Caenorhabditis elegans: one gene and its partner. The protein of the gene in region 2 purifies or fractionates together with the protein of the main gene of each other region. This does not show direct contact. Each region holds a gene or a part of one and is shown on either strand. Other genes may lie near its edges. The genes, in order: cct-7 and gfat-2.

Region 1 (5,929 bases), on a different chromosome or scaffold from region 2:
GTTTTGATCTCCGAAAATCGCGGGAATTTAGGAAATATTAATTTCTGTGAAAAAAGTTCCCGCATTTTTTTGTTGATCAAACCACCGTTGTGGGACATCCTGTCACCACTTTTTGTTTCGTAATTTTTTCATAATTTTGTAATGCTCAAAAGCTCCACCAATTACCCCCCGATATCCCTCACTGCCACCCACACTTATATGTTCCTTTAATCTTTTTTCGAGGCACCACGGTGTCAAGATCCTGTGGGATTCTGTGATCTACCATTTTTACGATGCTCCGATATTACGCTTGTCGTGCGCGTTGTTTATCGTTTTCCAGAAATTTTTCTTTCAAAAAAAAGGACAAAAAAAAAATTCTCAACACGCTAAACAACGCGCGCGATGCGTATAATCGGAGCATTGTTGCCTCGATTTTCAGAGATCTCGTTCTCATAGATCTTGAATCCGTGGTGACTCCTCAAAATTCAAGAAATTTCACTTTTCTCCCCGATTTATATGTAAAAGTAGGTGTTTTTGCGACATTTTATATGCATCTTAATCCCCACCCACCACCCCCCAACTTTGAAGCCGGTATCCACCCCCATCACCTAACTTCTCCGCTTTTTCTGCTTTTTCCGGTAAGGTTTGACCTTCTTTCTAATGGTTCTTTTTTTTTGAAATACTGAAATTAAAATTTTTTCAAAGTGCACTTATTCAAACAGAAAATTCAAAACGAAAACGACGGGGAGCGGTAGAGAAAACAAGCGGGTGGTGGACAATAAATCGGTGGGAAAAAGAAAAATTGAGAAAAAATTTAAAGTTTTTTGCAAGAAGCTATGATGAGAACGTTTGAGAGAGAGAGAGAGACGGGGGATCATAACAAAAGGTTTAATGAAAATGATAGAAAACAAACAAAAATTATGAAGAAAATTAAAAAAAAATTGCGCAAAATTTGAATATTTGAATACAGCAAAAGAAAGCAGCGAATGCACAGAGGGGCACATTGATCTCCTTATTGCCCGGGAAGTCCTGGCATTGCTCCTCCAGATGGTGTACGAACATTCTTCACCGTTTGATCGATCGAAAGAACGAGGCACGCGGCTTCGGTGGCAGCTGTGATGGCGTTCCTCTTCACGATGCTCGGCTCCCAGACACATGCGACAAGATTATCTCCGACGGCTTCACGATGGATGTCGATTCCGGCCCATTTCTCGCCTTGAGCATGACGATGTCTCAGCTTGTTCAGCACGTCGAGAGCATCGAGTCCGGCGTTTTGGCAAAGCTGGCGTGGGATGATCTGAAAAATTTCGGAAATTAGCTTTTTTTTTGGGTGTTTTTGGTGAAAAAAATGGATTTTTTGGTTTCTTCGACTCAAAAATACAAAGAATTTTTTCTTTAAAAAATGTTATGTTTTAGTTGGTTTATTACTTACAGCTTGAAATCTGCCTTAACTAACCTAAAAAACGGGAGAAAAACGACGAAAACCTGCAATTTTCGGGGTTTTGACTAAAAATAGCCAGGTTTTCAAGATTTTGAACTTTCAAAATTCCTTCATTTCGGCACATTTTAAGTTAAGCTCAAAATAGGTCTGAAAGTTAACAGAAATTGTTTAAAATCTTGAAAAAAGGTCAGTTTTCGCAAAAATCATATATTTTGCCAACTTTTCCGTATCAAAACGGCTGAAAATTTACTTTTATGCGATTAAATTGCATATTCTGGTCGTTTTTTCTTCGTTTAAGGCAAATTTAGAGTCAATAGGCAGCCTTACAGCTTGAGGGCTGCCTAAGCCAACAAAAAACTGAAGAAAAACGATAAAAACCTGCAATAAAGATCGATAATCGAATAAAATTTAATTTCCAGCAACTGGAAAACGGAAAAGTTGGAGAAATTAAAGATTTTAGCAAAAAAATCCAGTTTTTCGAGATTTTGAACTGTCTCATCACGAAAATCGTTCATTTCTGCATATTTATACTAGCACCAGTTTCTTCAATATCTACCTCGAAAGCCTGTCCATAAGCCATCCAGAAAGCTTGATCCTTGCCCTCAATACCCTTCGAATGCTCACGAATCAATCGGCTCAACTCCATCTCGATGGCACCTCCTCCGGCGACGATCGAATCGTTCTTCTTGGCACGACGAACAATCATGATAGCGTCGTGAAGAGATCGTTCGGTCTCGGCGATGAACTGCTCGGCTCCACCGCGAAGAAGAAGCGTACATGCCTGAGCTTTTGAGCAGTCCTCGAAGAAGTTGTAACGCTCGCTTCCGACTTGTTGCTCGTAGAATTTTCCGCACTTTCCGAGGACAGAGTCGTCGATTTGAGAGACTGTGGTGAGAACGCTTCCTCCGCATGCGGACATCAAGCGATCAAGATCGTCCTGTGGAATTCGTCCAGCACAGAACATGTCACGATCGGCGAACCATTGGGTAGCAACATCTCCGATTGGAAGTTTCGAGAGAACCACGTTGGCGCCGGAATCGTGAATCTTCTGAAGCTTATCGTAAAGAATATTCCACTCAGCGTCAACGACAGCTTGGAAGTCGGAAACGTTGGTCAGACGCATCTCAGCGTTCTCTTTCTCTGCCTTGAGCTCCAGCTCAATGTTAAGAAGAGCCACTTTGACATTGGAGTACTTCTTTGGCTGCATTTCGAAGCCAGCATAACTGAACGCTTTTTGGAAGGCAACTCCTTTGATGAGACGGGATTCCTGAAATTTTTAAAATTAAATTAAAAATAAATATTAATTAATTAAAATAGAGGTATTTCGCCTTTCCACTGAAAATATGCGGATTTTTCAGCTTAACAAATGTTTTTCCTGCATTTTACTAACAAAGCTTTTGGTAAACAGTGAAAATCGAGTTTAAAATGACTAGAATGAACATTTTTCGTCCAATGGTTGAGGAATGATTTTAAATTGAAAAAAAAATCAACGGGATTTTTCATATTTTCTAAATATTGTCCTATTAAAAATCGGTTTTAAACCATTTGTGACTTAACATTAGGGTCAAAATGGTTTAAAATCGATTTTTAATGGAAAAATATTTAAAAAATAAGAAAAATCCCGTTGATTTTTTCAATTTCTAACCATTCCTCAACCAGTGGACGAAAAAAGTTCATTTTAGTCATTTTAAATTCGATTTTCACTGTTTAAAAAAGCTGCTTTGTTAGTAAAATGCAGAGAAAAACATTTTTAAGCTGAAAAATCTGCAATTTTCAGTGGAAAGACAAAACACCGCGTGATAGACGACTTTTCGATTCACTAACGTGCAAATTTCCTCCGTTGACCTTCTTGATTCCGATCATGTTCAATGGAAGATGAGCATCCAACGTGTTCACAGCATCGACAATCATATTGGCGAAGAAAAGCCGTTCTTGACTGACGAGCTTGCTGCTCAACGTGGTTGCAGCACACTTCACAAGCATCTCACGGAGCTCCGTCTCGCCATTAATTTTGATTTCCAAATCAGCCAAGTTCTTCAGCGTCTTCTCGCAAGCTTTTCCGATGGCGCGAATGAGAAGTTGTGGATGGACACCGTCCTCGATGAATGGCTTCATTTGCTTCAGAATTTCGGCGGCCAAAACGACGACAGACGTGGTTCCGTCTCCGACTTCAGCGTCTTGAGAACGAGCGATATCAACCATTGTGGAGGCGGCCGGGAAGACAATATCCAAAAGCTTCAGAATTGTGGCTCCATCGTTGGAGATCGTCGTGGCTCCCTTGCTATCGACGATGAGCTTGTCGAGGCCACGTGGACCCAAGGTGGTACGGATACTGTCGGCGACAACCTGAAAAATACAGCATTTTAGGCATTTTTGACTAAATTTTAGAATTTTAGAAGCTAACTTGACAAGCGTTGATGTTGGAAATGATCTGACCCTTTCCCTGCTTGTTCTCAGTTCCGTCCTTGAGCAGGATAATTGGTGGGCGCATCATCTTGCTCTGAATTTGAATTATTAATTTTTAAAGCACGAGTATAATATTTTGAAATATTAAGAGCGATTAAAACGAGGGCAGAGAAGACAAAATTCGAAGATTTTGATGTTAAAATGTGTAGAAAGTCTAGAAGTATTATATTAATGAAGAAAATCTGGAAAATTCACAAAGATCCAGATGAAAATCGAGAAATAGTCCGACGAAAATATTCCTTCTCGAAACAATTCCCAGGAGCGGCGCGTGCTTGCGTCGCGGCTCGCGGCCACGGCCACCAGCCACAAATGCGCTCCATTGAGAATATTGCAAAGCAGAGCTCTCAGAAGCTCCATAATCGTCGAGTAGACACTTCGGTGAGGAAGGGGAGAAGTAGAAAAGCAGGAAAAGGAAAATGTCAATACTTGGAAGCATGGGAAATATGTGTGGTGAAAATGCAAATGTAACGCGTGTTGTCTCGGAGGTTCAGAGAAAAAGTGAGGGCTCACAGAGCTCTCGAGGAATAGTCTTTCACTTTTGCTTTCTTTTATTTTATTTTTATTCGCTTTTTTCTGCAAATGCCGGAGCTCACATTCCAAACTGGGCTCCTGGAGCACAAGGACCAAGTTCACAAGTTCCTGGTGGAGCATTTTAGAGTAATGGAGCCCATCACAACTTCATTGAGCTGCTCGGAAGAAGATGTCGCCGAGTTTTTCGTTGATTTGACGATGAGCGGGTTGGAAGATGAGAAAAGTTCAATTCTGGTTTTTGATGGGGAAGTAGGTTTTTGTTTTTTGTTTTTCAGATTTAATCTAGCTTCCCGCAAATTCTAGAAAAAAAAGTGTTCAGGAAATCGTGGCAGTTTGCCTGAATGCCGTCAAAGAATGCTCTTTTGTTTCCGAATCGACCCCATTCAATCCACACTGGGATTTTAACGCAGAAATCACAAATGGCCAGTACAAACACGAAAATGCCAACAAGTTGGTGGCATTCGTGCAGGTTTTGGAGCAAGACTTGTCGTTTTTGACTGGAAATCCGAAAAAAGTCTTCAAAATCGATGTGCTGTGCGTGTCGAAGGCTTGTCAAGGGTAGGAAGCAATTTTCTTCTTTTTTTTTCTTGTTCTCCTAGGGAATTGTGCTCAATTTAGGAAGGGAATCGGAAGACAGCTCGTCGAGAAGAGTCTGGAAAATGCTGTGAAGGAAGATTGCGAGTACGTGGCAACCGTTGCAACTGCTGTGGCTTCTCAGAATATTTTCAGCAAGGATAGTAGTTTCTTATTCAATAAAATTTCCGCTTTTTACGAAAAAAATAGAGCGAAAAGTCAGAAAACCTATAAAAAATACAGTACCCGTGTTTAAAGGCACACACACCACATCGGAAGCGTGGCGAGACCTTTGACCACGTGGCAAGACCAATTGAGGCACCACGAAATCTAGAACCGGTGGGATATCGGATCTGGCCCGTTTCTTTGCGTTGGCACTTGAATCCGTGGTGCCTCGATGAATTTTCGATCTAAAAGCTTCAAAAACTAATAAAATTCCAGTGTGGTCTCACAACACTTCGCGAAATGCCATTTTCCTGTTTTCGAAACAATGGCGACGTGGTTTTCGAGAACCTCGTCGACGGTGGAGTCAGCGGGAAACTAATGGGGAAGAAGCTAGAAAAACATGCAAATGAGGAGGAAGAGGACGACCTTCGATAGCGATAGCAACTCAAATTAAAGAAACATATATTTATAAAGGACCAAAGCAGCTAGGATCTCAACTTCAGATACTCAAAACCAATAATTAAAGTACACGTAATGAAATTGACACTTAATAAGCAAGACCTAGGCTATGAATAAAATATTATACATGTATTTATGAAATCAATTGTGTCAGAAATAGAATATTATACAGAGCGTGAGAAATCAGAAATCAGAATTCAAAAATTGGAATCGGCTTGATTTTGCTCATTAGAGCATCGATTCGCTCGAAGCCCTGCTTGATTTCCTCCCGGCGAGCGAGCGCTTCCTCTTCCTCTTTTCGCATTTTCGCCAGAA
Region 2 (4,852 bases):
CTTAAAGTAAACAGTATAACCTCAACCCAAAAATACTCTGTACCCTCTGGCGTTCCCCAGGGAACTGTATCGGGTCCACTTCTTTTTATCCTGTTCATCAATGATCTACTACACTCAATCCCTCCTACCGTCCATTTCTCATGTTTTGCGGACGATATTAAATTATTTGGTCACAGCCCTTCTGAATTACAAGCAGCCATAGACTTAATTGCTAATTGGTCAAAAGATAACCAACTCCCGCTTGCCCCTGCTAAAACCGCCCTTCTTCAGTTAGGCAAAAAGAATTCTAAAAATGTTTACACCGTTGACAACATCACAGTTTCCCCCACCAACTCAGTGCGCGACCTTGGTCTCTACACTGACTCCAAGTTAACGTTTCAACCCCATATAAACAGAGCCACTTCTCTTGCCCTCTTACGCGCTAAACAAATCCTCAAATGTTTCTCCTCTTCTTCCCCTAAATTCTATATAAGTATGTACAAGACCTACGTTTCCCCTATCCTTGAATACGGATCAGTCATATACTCCCCTCCACCAACATCTAAATTATCAAGCACACTAGAATCTCCCCTCAAATACTTTTCTAAACGGGTCCTACAGCGCTGCAATATTAAATACAAAATAAAAAATGCTACACAAACACACAATGCTTTCTCCAAATCCTACGAAAACCGACTAAAAATTCTAGGAATTTCATCAGCCCGCTCTCTCCGCCTAAGAGCCCAACTATTGCTTCTATACAAAATTCTTACCGGCGCAGCGCACTTCCCTAAAAGCAGCGACTTTGTTACGCTTGCTAACTCGTCTCGTCGTCCGATGCTCATTAAAATTAAAAATCCCAAATGTCGTAGTTTTTTCTCCCAAGTAGTGCCAATATGGAATAGCATTGTACGCAACTCTAGCTTTTTCCTCTCCCCATCACAATTCCTTTCGCTTGTTAATTGTCAAATATCTAAATTCTGATCTCTTTCCCCCTCACTTAAACTCGCGCTCTGTCGGGCCGAGTTTATTTTAATTTATTCATCTACACGTGTAAATATCATAACCGGTTATGTTTTTCTTATCATATTCTTTTTGTTTCCATGATGAATAAATTAAAAAAAAAATCCTTTGCAAAAGTTACACTCCTGATTATAACACTTTGCTTTCGTCTTCTGAACTGATTTACTTGTTGAACCTATTTTTCTGACATTTTTGCTGTATCAGAAAAAATCCTTATTGTGGCTTATTTACAATTAATACACTTTAAGAATATTCTTCTATAGAATTAATTTTCACGATGTTTATATAAATATTATATAAATCAGCATTTTAGGTTCCAGACCTGATATGTTGTCTACCGTAGTTCAAAGGCGCATGATGTTTCCAACTTTGATCTCGTAACGATTCTCAAATTGCCCTATTTCATTTGAGGCTTTTGGCGGAAAAACGATGGAAAAATGACTATAAAGGTGAGTTTTTTTCCACTTGACTTCATTTTCTTATTTTTAAAAGTTGATTTTGTTTGTCCTGTGTGTTTTCATGGATCTCATAAAATTCCTTCGACGCTTAATTTTGTTTTACAGGTAGCCTCAACAAACTAACCCTCCCGAAATGTGCGGAATCTTTGCCTACCTCAATTTCCTGGCTCCGAAGAAGCGGTCGGAAATTGTGGACATTTTGGTTCAAGGATTGCAGAGAATGGAATACAGAGGTTACGACTCTGCCGGTATCGCCATTGACGGATCAAACGACATCGAAAATCCTCATTCGAAGATTGCTCTGCTCCGAAAGAGAGGAAAGGTGTCCGTTCTCAACGACTACATTAAGGAGAACAATGAAAAGCTCAACATGGATATGGAATACAATATTCATTGCGGGATTGCACACACTCGTTGGGCTACGCACGGATCACCACGTGATGTTAATTCCCATCCACATCGCAGCAACGACAACAACGAGTTCCTTGTGGTTCATAATGGTATCATTACCAATTATCGCGAAATCAAGGAGTATCTCGAGAAGAAGGGACACAAGTTCGAGTCTGAGACGGATACGGAAGTCATCGCAAAGCTCACACAGCATGTCCATGATCGTTATCCCGACTTTTCATTCCGTCAGTTAGTTGAGACGGTTATCCAGCAGTTGGAAGGAGCTTTCGCTTTGGCATTCAAGTCATCGCGTTTCCCAGGACAACTTGTGGCTTCTAGACGCGGATCTCCACTGTTGGTTGGTATCAAGAGCAACTCAACTCTTCACACTAGCCATTTCCCAGTCTCTTACTCGAAAGGACGCTGTTTTATGTCGAACAACGCCACGCATTGTAAGTTATTTAATGGTTCTATTTTCAATTGAACGAAAATGTTCTCAGTGCGCGAAGAGACATCGTTCGTCGAGACTCCAAACAACATTCTGGATCTTTCAATCGCTGTCAGAAATCCCAGTGGATCTGCAAAGCTGCCCGACAACAATTCCACAACACGTCCGTTCGACTCAACCGATTTTGAAGTTGAATACTTCATCGCCTCGGATGCGGCTGCAATCATTGAACACACCAAGCAAGTTCTGTTCCTTGAGGATGATGATGTGGCCTTCGTTGAAGATGGATCACTCACAATTCATCGCATCTCTCGCCACGCTGACAGCGGCGAACAAAAGAGAGAAGTTCAGCTTCTCGAGTTGGAAATCCAAGAGATTATGAAGGTTTGTGGAATATCCAAATTAGAATATTGTATTAAATTGTTTTATTTCCAGGGATCTTACAAGACCTTCATGCAAAAGGAGATCTTCGAGCAACCGGAATCAGTTGTCAACACAATGCGCGGACGTGTTCTCCCATCGGGACAAGTTGTTCTTGGTGGACTTAAGGAATACCTTCCAGCTATCAAACGATGCCGTCGCCTCATCATGGTTGCGTGTGGAACATCATATCACTCTGCAATTGCTTGCCGTCAGGTTCTCGAAGAATTGTCGGAACTGCCTGTTGTCGTCGAACTTGCTTCAGATTTCTTGGATCGTGAGACTCCAATCTTCCGTAATGATGTGTGCTTGTTCATCTCGCAGAGTGGAGAGACGGCTGATACTCTGATGGCTTTGAGATACTGCAAACCTCGTGGAGCTCTCACAATTGGAGTTACCAACACAGTCGGATCGTCGATTGGTCGCGAATCCCACTGTGGAATTCATATCAACGCTGGTCCGGAAATAGGAGTTGCTTCAACCAAGGCCTACACCTCGCAGATTGTATCACTTCTGTTGTTCGCACTCACCATCTCGGAAGATCGCATCTCGAAGATGAAGAGACGTGCAGAGATTATTGATGCTCTCAATAATCTTCCAATTCTGATCCGCGATGTTCTCGATCTGGACGATCAGGTACTGAAGATCGCTGAGCAAATCTACAAAGATAAGTCACTTCTCATTATGGGACGAGGATTGAACTTTGCCACGTGTCTCGAAGGAGCTCTCAAGATCAAAGAGCTCTCGTACATGCATTGTGAAGGAATCATGTCTGGTGAACTGAAGCATGGGCCTCTTGCAATGGTCGATGAATTCCTCAGCATCTGCATGGTAGTATGCAACGATCATGTCTACAAGGTTACAATTTTATCAACTGAGTTATTTTAAACAAATTTATATTTTCAGAAGTCGTTGAATGCTCTTCAGCAAGTTGTTGCGCGAAAGGGAGCCCCGATCATTATTGCCGATAGCAGCGTTCCGGAAAGTGATCTCGCTGGAATGAAGCATGTTCTCCGTGTCCCAAGAACAGTCGACTGTGTTCAAAACATCCTCACGGTCATTCCTCTGCAGCTTCTCTCCTACCACATTGCTGAGCTCAATGGAGCAAACGTAAGTTTTCACATTCTATCAAAAAGCAAATGTAATATTCGTTTTTTTTTCAGGTGGACCGACCACGCAATTTGGCAAAATCTGTCACTGTTGAGTAAGCCAATCCGTCAACCACATCCTTGCTCAATGACTACTCACCGCCTTTCTCGTCTTTCCTGTTAAATGATGTTACTATTTTGATAATTTCCCATCTAAAATGCTCCCTTTTATTTATTGCATGATCGAAGCAAACGAAAATAAATGTTTGTGCTCCAGTTCAAGTCTTATACACGGAATTTCAAGAAAGCTCAGAATACCCATTAAATACTAGAAAAAATATTAATATTGAAACGGTAGATGGAGAGAAAACTGACAGATTAGTACCTGGATAATAACATTTATTTCAACTGTTTCAGTTTCTGGAAGAAAACTTCAGATTATTTGTACAAATTCTTAACAAATGTAGAAGTATGATCCATTTTCATGCAGTCCACGCATCTTTTACACACAACAGTCCAAGCGCTTGCAATTTCCCTTTTATGGTGCAACTGAAAATACTAAAGTGTATACAAGCAATTTCAAAAACTCGAAGATTACCTTCGAACATCAACATACGAAGTTCCAACGCTTGGGAATACGAGAACAAGACAATCATCATCACTTTCCACCCTTGCACCAGCATTTGTTGTCCAGTTATAATAATTGAAATTACCCAAGAAATGAGGATCAGTGAATGTGAAACCCTAGAATTTAAAGTAGAGAATGCATGAATAAATGGAAAAACTTACAGATGGGGACATACATGCAGCTGTTTTTGGTGTTGATTGGCATGCCGTTGTTCTCTTACCATCAATTCTAACGTAGAACGAGCTTGACTTGAAAAATTTAATATATAGATTAACGAGCCCTGGAAGTATTTATAGTTTGAGTTCATCTAGTAATAAAACTCACATGTAAATGCGCCATTTTCAACTGAACTAGTAACTGTTGGCAGATTTCCATTTATGGATTTACACGTTTGAAGAGATGAATTTTGAAATAAGCC

What was found.
Region 1: the proteins of gfat-2 (region 2) and cct-7 fractionate together in Caenorhabditis elegans (co-fractionation; one large-scale study listed by BioGRID). This does not show direct contact.

The regions. Positions count from the first base shown.
Region 1 is NC_003283.11:1,870,237-1,876,165, reverse strand, and holds cct-7 (T-complex protein 1 subunit eta), read right to left. Parts: upstream 3,921-5,929; 5' UTR 3,915-3,920; coding exon 3,825-3,914; intron 3,767-3,824; coding exon 3,245-3,766; intron 2,688-3,244; coding exon 1,977-2,687; coding exon of another isoform or gene 1,932-1,976; exon of another isoform or gene 1,663-1,931; intron 1,277-1,662; coding exon 992-1,276; 3' UTR 661-991; downstream 1-660. Other genes in the region: T10B5.4 (aralkylamine N-acetyltransferase), read left to right, coding at 4,466-4,666, 4,737-4,975, 5,036-5,150, 5,432-5,590; knl-3 (Kinetochore NuLl), read right to left, coding at 5,805-5,929.
Region 2 is NC_003282.8:11,408,920-11,413,771, forward strand, and holds gfat-2 (glutamine--fructose-6-phosphate transaminase (isomerizing)), read left to right. Parts: upstream 1-1,565; 5' UTR 1,566-1,593; coding exon 1,594-2,302; intron 2,303-2,350; coding exon 2,351-2,682; intron 2,683-2,733; coding exon 2,734-3,576; intron 3,577-3,624; coding exon 3,625-3,828; intron 3,829-3,881; coding exon 3,882-3,926; 3' UTR 3,927-4,082; downstream 4,083-4,852. Other genes in the region: F22B3.10 (PAN-3 domain-containing protein), read right to left, coding at 4,289-4,355, 4,405-4,550, 4,596-4,714, 4,759-4,852.